3 linked regions of the Canis lupus familiaris genome follow. The protein of the gene in region 3 interacts with the protein of the main gene of each other region in a pairwise test. Links are inferred from orthologs where the notes say so. Each region holds a gene or a part of one and is shown on either strand. Other genes may lie near its edges. The genes, in order: UBQLN2, WWP2 and RNF11.

Region 1 (3,754 bases), on a different chromosome or scaffold from region 3:
TATCCACAATTAATATATCAGTGCATACACACTTAAAGAGAATTTACCTATACAAACTGTTTAAAAATAGTTTTAAATAAAAATATATTTATTGTATCTTTTGGTCTTTTGGTATTGAAACATATCCTTGAATAATTTCTAACTATCCAGAAATATACAAAGCTGAAAGTGAAAATACTGCTATTTCCCTATAACTACTATTTATTTCATTTTTTAAAAAGATTTTATTTTTTAATTTATTCATGAGAGACACAGAGAGAGGCAGAGACATAGGCAGAGGGAGAAGCAGGCTCCCTGTAAGGAACCCAATGCAGAACTTGATCCTAGGACCCTGGGATCATGCCCTTAGCAGAAGGCAGATACTCAATTGCTGAGCTACCCAGGGATCCCTATTTAATGCATATCTTTATACTTTATATCAGGTGAATTAATCACCGATTTTTTACACAAAGTATTTTATTATGTGGTAATATCATAATATATTTTATCAACCCTGTGTAAGCACACTGATTATCTTTATTTTTTTATTTTTTAAAGATTTTATTTATTTATTCATGAGAGACAGAGAGAGAGAGAGAGGAGAGACACAGGCAGAGAGAAGCAGGCTCCTTGCAGGGATCCCGACAGGGGACTCGATACTGGCACCTCAAGCCCTGAGTCAAAGGCAAACGCTCAACTGCTGAGCCACCCAGGCATCCCTGATTATCTTTAAAAATAATTTTAAGATGCTGCAGTGCATATACATCTTATACATATATATTTTTGCATCCTTATCTACTTTCATAGAAGTGTCTAAAGAAGGTATTTCTAAATAAAAATGGAAATATTTAAAATGTTGATACATATTTTCAAATTGCCTTACACTTATAACAATTTACACTTCAACTGATAAGAGTGCATTTTCTCAGCTCACTGATGATAAGGTTTATCATTATTTTCCTTTTTCCAATATGATAAAGCAGAAGTAGAATCTCACTATCTTAATTGAATTTCTTTGATTACTAGTAAGCTTAAGCATCCATTTTTATGCTCATTGGCCATTTGGGTTTCTTTTGTAAAATGCATGCTCTGGCCCAGTCTGCTCCCCTTCCCCCACTCTGGCTGTTAGTCTTTTCCTTTTGCTTAGTCAGAGTTCTTTTTCATTTTTCGTCTTTTACATGGGGTGAGTTTGATTCAGGCTTTCATCCTTTCTTGCCTGACAGACTTTATATATATTTTTATATATAATATATTCTACATGGGTCTTTTAATGTCCTCAGAAGCTAGCTCCTTTTCTCTCTCCCTTCCTCCTTCCCTCTCTTTTGTCTTCTCTGTTCTCTTTGTTTCTTTCTGTCTTTGTTTTTCTCTCTCTCCCTCTCTCTTTATTTTTTCCAGTACAGAAGTTTTTAATTTTGAACGAGTCGAATCTATCATTTTCGGCCTGGCGCCGCGTCAGCAGAGGGGGCGGGGAGGCGAGCGCGGAACTGGGGGAGGGGACAGGGCGGGGAGGAGCGGGCAGAGCAGCTGCAGGAGTTGCTGGGAGCGCGCGCGGTGCGATCACTCGGCGTCGGAGGAGGCCCAGAGACCTGAACGCAGACGCTTCTCCCGCGGCCTACAGCGTCTTCTCCCCACCGGAGGACCAGGAAACCGCAGTTCTCATCACAGAGGTACCGTGCTCTGCGCTCCCCGCCCGGCTCAGCCTGCTGTGGTGGCGCCTCCTTCCTTCCTTCTTCCCTCGCTCTCTTTCTCGCCCGCCCGCGCCTTCTCTGTCTGCCTGCGTCACCGCGGCCGCCATGGCTGAGAACGGCGAGAGTAGCGGCCCCCCGCGCCCCTCCCGCGGCCCTGCCGCGGCCCAAGGCCCTGCCTCTGCCCCGGCCGAGCCCAAAATCATCAAAGTTACTGTGAAGACCCCCAAAGAGAAAGAGGAGTTCGCGGTGCCCGAGAATAGCTCAGTCCAGCAGTTTAAGGAAGCGATTTCAAAACGCTTCAAATCCCAAACCGACCAGCTAGTGTTGATTTTTGCCGGAAAAATCTTAAAAGATCAAGATACCTTGATTCAGCATGGCATCCATGATGGACTGACTGTTCATCTTGTAATTAAAAGCCAGAACCGACCTCAGGGCCAGTCCACACAGCCTAGTAATGCCGCGGGAACTAATACTACCTCCGCGTCGACTCCCAGGAGTAACTCCACATCTGTTTCCACAAATAGCAACCCGTTTGGGCTGGGGAGCTTAGGAGGACTTGCAGGCCTTAGCAGCCTGGGCTTGAGCTCGACCAACTTCTCTGAGCTCCAGAACCAGATGCAGCAGCAGCTCCTGTCCAGCCCTGAGATGATGATTCAAATCATGGAAAATCCCTTTGTTCAGAGCATGCTTTCAAATCCCGATCTAATGAGGCAGCTCATTATGGCCAATCCACAGATGCAGCAGTTGATTCAGAGAAATCCAGAAATCAGTCACCTGCTCAACAACCCAGATATAATGAGACAGACCCTGGAAATTGCCAGGAATCCAGCCATGATGCAAGAGATGATGAGAAATCAAGATTTGGCTCTCAGCAATCTTGAAAGCATCCCAGGTGGCTACAATGCTCTACGACGCATGTACACTGATATTCAAGAACCCATGCTGAATGCTGCACAAGAGCAGTTTGGGGGTAATCCATTTGCCTCGGTGGGAAGCAGTTCCACCTCTGGGGAAGGTACACAACCTTCCCGCACAGAAAATCGAGATCCACTACCCAATCCATGGGCACCACCACCGGCTACCCAGAGTTCTGCAACCACCAGCACAACCTCCAGCAGTGGCAGTGGCTCTGGCAGTAGCTCCAGCAGTGCTACTGGGAACACCGTGGCTGCAGCCAACTATGTTGCCAGCATCTTCAGTACCCCAGGAATGCAGAGCTTGCTGCAACAGATAACTGAAAACCCTCAACTGATCCAGAATATGCTGTCTGCACCCTACATGAGAAGCATGATGCAGTCGCTGAGCCAGAATCCAGATTTAGCTGCACAGATGATGCTGAATAGCCCGGTGTTTACTGCAAATCCTCAGTTGCAGGAGCAGATGCGTCCACAGCTCCCAGCTTTCCTGCAGCAGATGCAGAATCCAGACACACTATCAGCCATGTCAAACCCAAGAGCAATGCAGGCTTTAATGCAGATCCAGCAGGGGCTACAGACATTAGCCACTGAAGCTCCTGGCCTCATTCCAAGCTTCACTCCAGGTGTGGGGGTAGGGGTGCTGGGAACCGCTATAGGCCCTGTAGGCCCAGTCACACCCATAGGCCCCATAGGCCCCATAGTCCCATTTACTCCCATAGGCCCCATTGGGCCCATAGGACCCACCGGCCCTGCAGGCCCTGGCTCTACTGGCTCTGGAGGCCCCCCTGGGCCCACTGTTTCTAGCTCTACACCCACCGAAACCACTAGCCCAACATCAGAATCTGGACCCAACCAGCAGTTCATTCAGCAAATGGTGCAGGCTCTGGCTGGGGCAAGTCCTCCACAGCTGCCGAATCCAGAAGTCAGATTTCAGCAACAACTGGAACAGCTCAACGCAATGGGGTTCTTAAACCGTGAGGCAAACTTGCAGGCTCTAATAGCAACAGGAGGCGACATCAATGCTGCCATTGAAAGGCTGCTGGGCTCCCAGCCATCCTAATTACATTTCTGTACCTTGAAAAAAATGTATCTTATTTTTGATAATGGCTCTTAAATCTTTAAACACACACAAAAACGTGCTTTACTTTCATTTTGATTCTTTTAAATCTA
Region 2 (3,154 bases), on a different chromosome or scaffold from region 3:
CTGAGAAGAGGCACAATCAGGACAAGGCTTGGCAAACGTCATTTCCATGTCCTGTGCATCAAGACACCATAGCATGGTGATCCATCCCATCTGAATCCTTAAGTGTTCAAAAAAAGTGGGTGGCAAGACCTTATGTGATGATTTAGCTTGAGATCATAGCATCCCTCTATCATCATGGGACTCAGTAAATGTTTCTCCAATGAACGACTGCCTAGACACTGTCCCCAGGAGCTGGCTTCCAAAACCCACCCAACCTGCAGCCACAGCTGTTCGTATTCTGGCTCCGCAGCGACAACTGTTCATAGACATAGAAAGACTGGCCTGGCGTCCAAAGGGTGCAGTGAGGAAACCCTGACCAAGAGCCACCCCAGAGATCCCTGCACAGGGACTCAGCCAGCCAGAAGTAATATGACTGTCTCAGTTACACATTCCTAAAAGCAGCAAGTCACGGAACTTCCACCCCAATGGGGGCCTGCCTGAAGGGTTTGGGGCACCCAGAGGCCTCTCATCTGAGGACAGCGATTTTGCAGACATCCACGCCAACACCACCCACAGCTGCTGATTGTTTATTGCACGAGAAACTGGCAATACCAAGGCAAGGGGGTTAAGTATCACAAAACCATCTGTCAACCAACCCAGAGCTACCAAAGGACATTCTACACGACACCTCGGTTACATACATGTATGTACACACGCACACACACACATGAACACACTCTGAACAGCCATGAGTCGCGGGTTTCCAGACCCCACACAGCAGCTGGTACCCCAACCCCCCAGTAGTGTGGAATATTGCAGGGAAGCACAGCAAATGACTCGAGGAAAAGAAAAAAGGTTGAGCTCCAGTGAGCTGAGCCACTCAAATCAGCAAATGCAACACAGTGGACACAGGCTCTCCCTCCCTCTGTGGCCCGGGGGTGGGGGGGAGTGGGGGGAAGGAAGGACCAGGATCTGGGGATGTGACACTGCCCTACAGAGGTCAGTGGGCCTGCCTAGGGTCCTAGGAGGCTCAAGCTAGTCTGTCGTCGGTGCTCAGGGCTGGAGCCCGAGGGCCCAGACTGGAGAGCTTGAGCAACCCCTCCAGCATCCCAGAGGAGCATGTTCTGCTTGCCGATCGCCGCACGCCACGGAATGCCCATGTCGGAGGCTGGTGGGAACTCCGTTCTGCTGGTCTCCAAGACCGTCACCTTCCGTGTCCAGATAAAGCCGCCCTTCCAGGCAGGATGGACATGCCCTAGGGTGGCTGGGACACACTGAATTCTCAACAGGAGACTAACGGACCTGCCTGAAGCCTTAAGGGCCACTGGAGAGTGACAGAGTGACAGGGTCACCCACCCCCACATGCTCCATCACTTGGGGCTGCCTAGAAACTACATCTAGCAATGGGAGTTCTCCATCAAAGGTTGGGTGACACCTGGGACCCTCCCCCCCTCCCCTCTGTCAAGGCTTGGAGACTGGGCCACTGGGAGGCTGGGCTGCAGGGCAAGGCCCGCCTGAGCTCCCAGAACTGCTAAGCGGGTTCCTAAGAGGAGCAGCTGTTGGGGAAGTCCTTGGACCACTGGTGCCAGATCCCTCAAGGTCCCAGCGACACCTGGCATACCAGCTCCTGGACACAAAGGGATAGCAGCACACCGACATCAAAACACAAAGTCACCCTACACACAGAATGCTTCGAGTTGATGTGAAAGGGCAAAGAAAGTCTGAGGGGGTTTGTTGTTTCCAAGCCGCTGCCACCCTAGCAGCTGGTACAACACTTTATTTGCAGGAAAGGACAAAGGGTCCCGCACTGAGTGCAGAGATGGGCTTCACCGCTCAGCCTCGGGGGCTGGATCCCCCTGGGACAGGGAGTGGCCGCCCAGACCCAGTGCTCTCTCCGGGTGCGGGAAGACGTCCTCTCCCTCAGACCTCCATCGTATACAGATCACTGGAAAAGTTCTATCAAAAACAGAACGTCCTTGACTGGCAAAGACCCTGGGCCTTCTGGGCCCAGAAGAGCCAGCCTGAGTGGGTGGCCGGGCTCCCTGCTGCCTCACTAGCACACGAGAACCAGGCCTCCTGCAGCAGCCCTGGGCACAGGGCGCCCCCTCACATTCTCATGCTGCCTACGGCTGGTCTGGTCTCGGGGCGGAAGGGGGAAGAGCTGACTGCGAGGGTCAGGCCTCCAGACTCTGCAGTGGGTGACGGGACCAAAGGTGACATGGGGGCTTTATTCCAGACTGCCACCGGTGGGGGGGTGGGGGGAGGCAGACAGGCCTCCTGAGGTCAGGCTCTGCTACCACCAGCCTGAGGACAGTGTGGTCCCACGCACGGCTGCCACCTGGGGCGGTGGGGGGAGCCTCCCGGGAGCTCTGTGGCCACCGGCCTCCCCGGCAGGAAGAACTCATGACTACATGTGCGCCGGGGGGTGTGGGAAGGGGCAGCCTCAGTTACTCCTGTCCAAAGCCCTCAGTCTCCTCGATGGCGTACAGCAGCTTCTCTCGCAGCTGTTCATAGCTCTTGTACGGTGGGAGATCCAGACGGTTGAAACTGTTGAGAGAGGGAAGCAGGACAGTCAGCCCAGGGAGGTCAGGGCTCCCAGCCTGGCTGCCGTGCGGGGAGGGCTCAGAGTCATTCACGTGACTGTGGCTTGACCACAGTGCCAAGGGGCTAGAAGGCAGAGTGGAGCCCTTGAGGGCCCTGTTACGTGAGGCCTTAATGCTTCCTGTCCCTGGACCTCGGGTGGTCAGGAGGCAGGGCAGTAGGAGAAAGGGGGAGGCAGCCCTCTGTTTACCGGAACAGAAACGGTGGAATATTTAATAGCTGGGAAGGCCACGAGGGTGAGGGCGAGCAACTGCTGCCGCAACTCCCAAAAAGCCTCGGGGCGCCTCTTCTCCAACCCCAGGAGGTTGCCAGAGTCCCTGAGGCCGCCCCACCCGCCGGGCTCGTCGGGGCTGTGAGGTTCTGGCCACCTCCCAGAAACACCAAAACGCTCACCACGTGTGGCTCCGGGGCAGCCAGGTTTCCTTGCCAACCTTGTCGATGCAAAACTTCTGTGGTCCGTTGCTCCCTGTATCCGAAGAGAAGCTCTTCATATACAAAGGACGGCCCCTTCGTAGGGCAGGGCCCCGGCTCCACCCACAGGAGCCTCAGGCCTCACCCACTGACTCACCCGAGC
Region 3 (3,227 bases):
TGCCAAAGAAACTTACCTTCTTCACTGCTTACCATTTCAGTCTCAGAAATCTAGGCAGGTCTGCTTTTGACTATTATTCCTTTGTAAAATATGTGCTTCCTTATGACCAGGCTTTGTGTGCAAAGAAAGTTAGCCCAATGCTCACCGTACTCTGTAAAATCATACGGGCTTATGTAGGGGACACCAACAGGAGGAAATCTTTTCCTGGTTTAAGACATTCTCTATAAAGAACACTCAGAATTGAAAAGGTTTTTGTGAACCGAAGTATTTCAACTAACTTCTAGGTTTACACTTAAGATTTCTTTTACTTTTTCCTGGTCAGGCTTTTCAGACATTTCAAATCCTATAGCCAACCTTGAATGCATCTTCCCTAAATCGAAATGTTGCACCTATTATTTGGCTTCAGAAAATCTGAAGCTATCAAGCTTCTAAATTTATGATTAGATGGTATTAAATGCCACATAAAAAATACTTCCCAAGTTTATAAACTTAGAGATTAAAATTATACACCATTTAAAAGAAAGGATTAGATAATTTGGGGAATATTCTTACGTAAACAACTCTAACTGTAGCCCTTTACAACTGTATTATAACTTTATTTAACTTAGTAAAAGCCAAAATTGATAGTTCTTAACATGGTGTATGGAAATCAAAATTAAAGAATACAAAGTACCTTAAAAATTTTTTTTCAGCTCAATTCTAGTTCCTTCACTATTACTGCCAAACTTCTGTGAAAGAAGCCTTGCAATAAAGACTAACAGCAACATTAGTTTTTAAAAGTTCACTTACCAATTTTAACAATCTAGAAAAAAGGAAAGTCAGACATGTATAAGTAGAAAACACAAGGATAAAAAAAGTAATATCTATGAAAATATTGCACAACTTCAGGTGTTTCCTCCAAATTTGCTTTATGTAATTGAGTGGATATAAATTAATGAACAAAAACTTAAGCAAGATACATGTAACAATTTAACAGAACCTGATAATCTAATTTTCAGTTTTTCTCAAATTCATCTTTAAGTCTTTCCATCATGGGGCTCATAAGAAAATTAACCAACATATGGATACTACAGTCTAGTGTCAAATCTTTAAGTATTTATGACATACTGAATTCCTCTACAATGCAATTTTGAAGAACCCTCAAGATACTTGTGTTTTGTATGTAGAAAAGTGTTAGAGTCAAATATTCAACTCAATATTAAATAAACATTTCTGATGTTAGATTGAGATTGCTTCTCCTTTTGCTAATGAATGATATACTTAGCTGTATAATATCACTGAGCTGAACAAATAAGTCACCTCTGAGTACATAAGGAAAAATAAACACATGCTAAATGGATAAAACATTACAAACTACATCTTTACTAAACCATCTATACCTCTAACACCTCTAACACTTCAGAAGCTTAGAGATTCAGAGTGTTCTTACATTAACTGCAAGAAAGATAAAGGAGAAATTCCCTCTTTGAGATCACAACTATGAAGTCATATGGTTATACAAATTCTGCGTTTGTGTGCAAAACATGAATACGTTTATCTTAATTCTCCCTGCTTAGACTTGTCAGCCAGCAGGACTTTTCCTTTCAAAGAAACAGACTGAGATGTGTTTTATATAACTTCAATAACCTCAGCACTACAATAATAAGAGATGCAGTATCCTTTTGCTATGGTTCAAGACAATAAGGGAAGGAGGTCGCAAGAAAGAATAAATCAAAACTGTTAGAACTGAGCAACTTTTCTCAGTTTCACCATGGTGCCACTTTCATTTTACATAAGCATGGTGGCATAATTCAAGCTCCATAAATCAGAAATCTTAATATTTAAAATTTACCTTGACTTTTAATTATTACCATATTAACAACCAAAGTAATTAGATAAAACACACAGGAAAGGGTAACAGTAAACCCCACTTTACTAGAGTTGGTTTCTTGACATTAACTCAGTGTTTATAGAAAAGGGATAGTGCATCTCAGTTTGCTTACAAGCTAGGAGATCACTTTGAATTCTGCATTTCCTAACTGCAAACAGATATAGCACTTATAACAGGTTATAAATAAACTGGTTTTCAAGCATAGAGCCAGCCCCAACGATAATAATACACTATTTAAAAAGACCTAAGGCAATGAATTCCATTTCCAATGGAAAAAAAGAACTGTGCAAACAAGCTTAAAACTACTTTTTTTTTGTGCCAGTGTTATAAAATGTAGCTTTTAATAAAACCTTGACCCAAATGCCAGCAACTTCAGAAAAGAATTTGGGTGGGGGGGAAAAAGAGAGTTATTTCATTTAGGAAAAACAACCACTATCTTTTTCCTAATCTTCAACACACACAATTTAAACATATACAGCTGCTGTAACACTTTACACAATTCCTATGTACTGGAGCATAACAAGATCTAAATACAATTATATTTTTAAACACTGGGTCAAGGCTTTACATAAAAATACCATCCTACTTTTCCCCCTAAGTTTCTAAAATATCACATATTTTTTTCCCCAACATCTGCAGCCATTCAGGAATTTTTAGGAAACTTTTGTGCATGATCTTAATTCCTAATCCCTGACTCTTTGGGCTCAGTGACAAAAGATCAAAACCACCAAAAAATGATGGTTCACTTGAAGTCAGACCAGAGACCCTGGCTCAATTAGTCTCGTAGGACGAAAGCAGTGCTGCATCAACTGGCTCCATGCAAGAGGGGCACGTGAAGGATCTCATCAACCAGTCATCTATACAGTCCAGGTGATAGATGTGCATGCACGGCAGAAATCGAATTGGGTCCCCATAAACAAAGTCCATCATACAGATAACACACCTGTTGGGGGTGAGGGAGAGAGAAATCAGAAAGCATTTTTTAGAGAAGTGATGTATCTAGAATACTCTTTAAAATCCCATTACAAAGACTGTTAATCCGAACAGATGAAAATGGCTTGCTTGTCATCCTACCAAAGCATGCAAACTGATTTTTCCTAATAAGCATTAATCCATCAGCAATCTCTCATTTTGATCCGCTGGAAATTCATGGGTTTGAGAGCTATCAACAGAGCAAAGAGAAATGGGCCACGTGGGGATCAGGTCCATTCCTAGAACTGCACTTGTAAAATAGCTACATATTATACAAGACACCCAAAGAATGTGATGCTTCAGGTAGGAAGCCATCAGATCAACTCTGTTTACATGAACTCAGTTTTTAATGTACACCCAGGAGTAAGACAGTTTTCATTTTAAT

What was found.
Region 1: the proteins of RNF11 (region 3) and UBQLN2 interact in binary tests that used the Homo sapiens proteins (3 or more experiments, as listed by UniProt). The link is inferred for Canis lupus familiaris from reciprocal best matches to the Homo sapiens genes RNF11 and UBQLN2.
Region 2: the proteins of RNF11 (region 3) and WWP2 interact in binary tests that used the Homo sapiens proteins (3 or more experiments, as listed by UniProt). The link is inferred for Canis lupus familiaris from reciprocal best matches to the Homo sapiens genes RNF11 and WWP2.

What each region holds. Positions count from the first base shown.
Region 1 is NC_049260.1:48,015,363-48,019,116, forward strand, and holds the start of UBQLN2 (ubiquilin-2), read left to right. Parts: upstream 1-1,483; 5' UTR 1,484-1,772; coding exon 1,773-3,644; 3' UTR 3,645-3,754. UniProt on the Homo sapiens protein: Plays an important role in the regulation of different protein degradation mechanisms and pathways including ubiquitin-proteasome system (UPS), autophagy and the endoplasmic reticulum-associated protein degradation (ERAD) pathway.
Region 2 is NC_049226.1:80,386,050-80,389,203, forward strand, and holds the end of WWP2 (NEDD4-like E3 ubiquitin-protein ligase WWP2), read right to left. Parts: intron 3,047-3,154; coding exon 2,974-3,046; intron 2,527-2,973; coding exon 2,427-2,526; 3' UTR 552-2,426; downstream 1-551. UniProt on the Homo sapiens protein: E3 ubiquitin-protein ligase which accepts ubiquitin from an E2 ubiquitin-conjugating enzyme in the form of a thioester and then directly transfers the ubiquitin to targeted substrates.
Region 3 is NC_049236.1:9,997,958-10,001,184, forward strand, and holds the end of RNF11 (RING finger protein 11), read right to left. Parts: intron 2,814-3,227; coding exon 2,642-2,813; 3' UTR 576-2,641; downstream 1-575. UniProt on the Homo sapiens protein: Essential component of a ubiquitin-editing protein complex, comprising also TNFAIP3, ITCH and TAX1BP1, that ensures the transient nature of inflammatory signaling pathways. Promotes the association of TNFAIP3 to RIPK1 after TNF stimulation.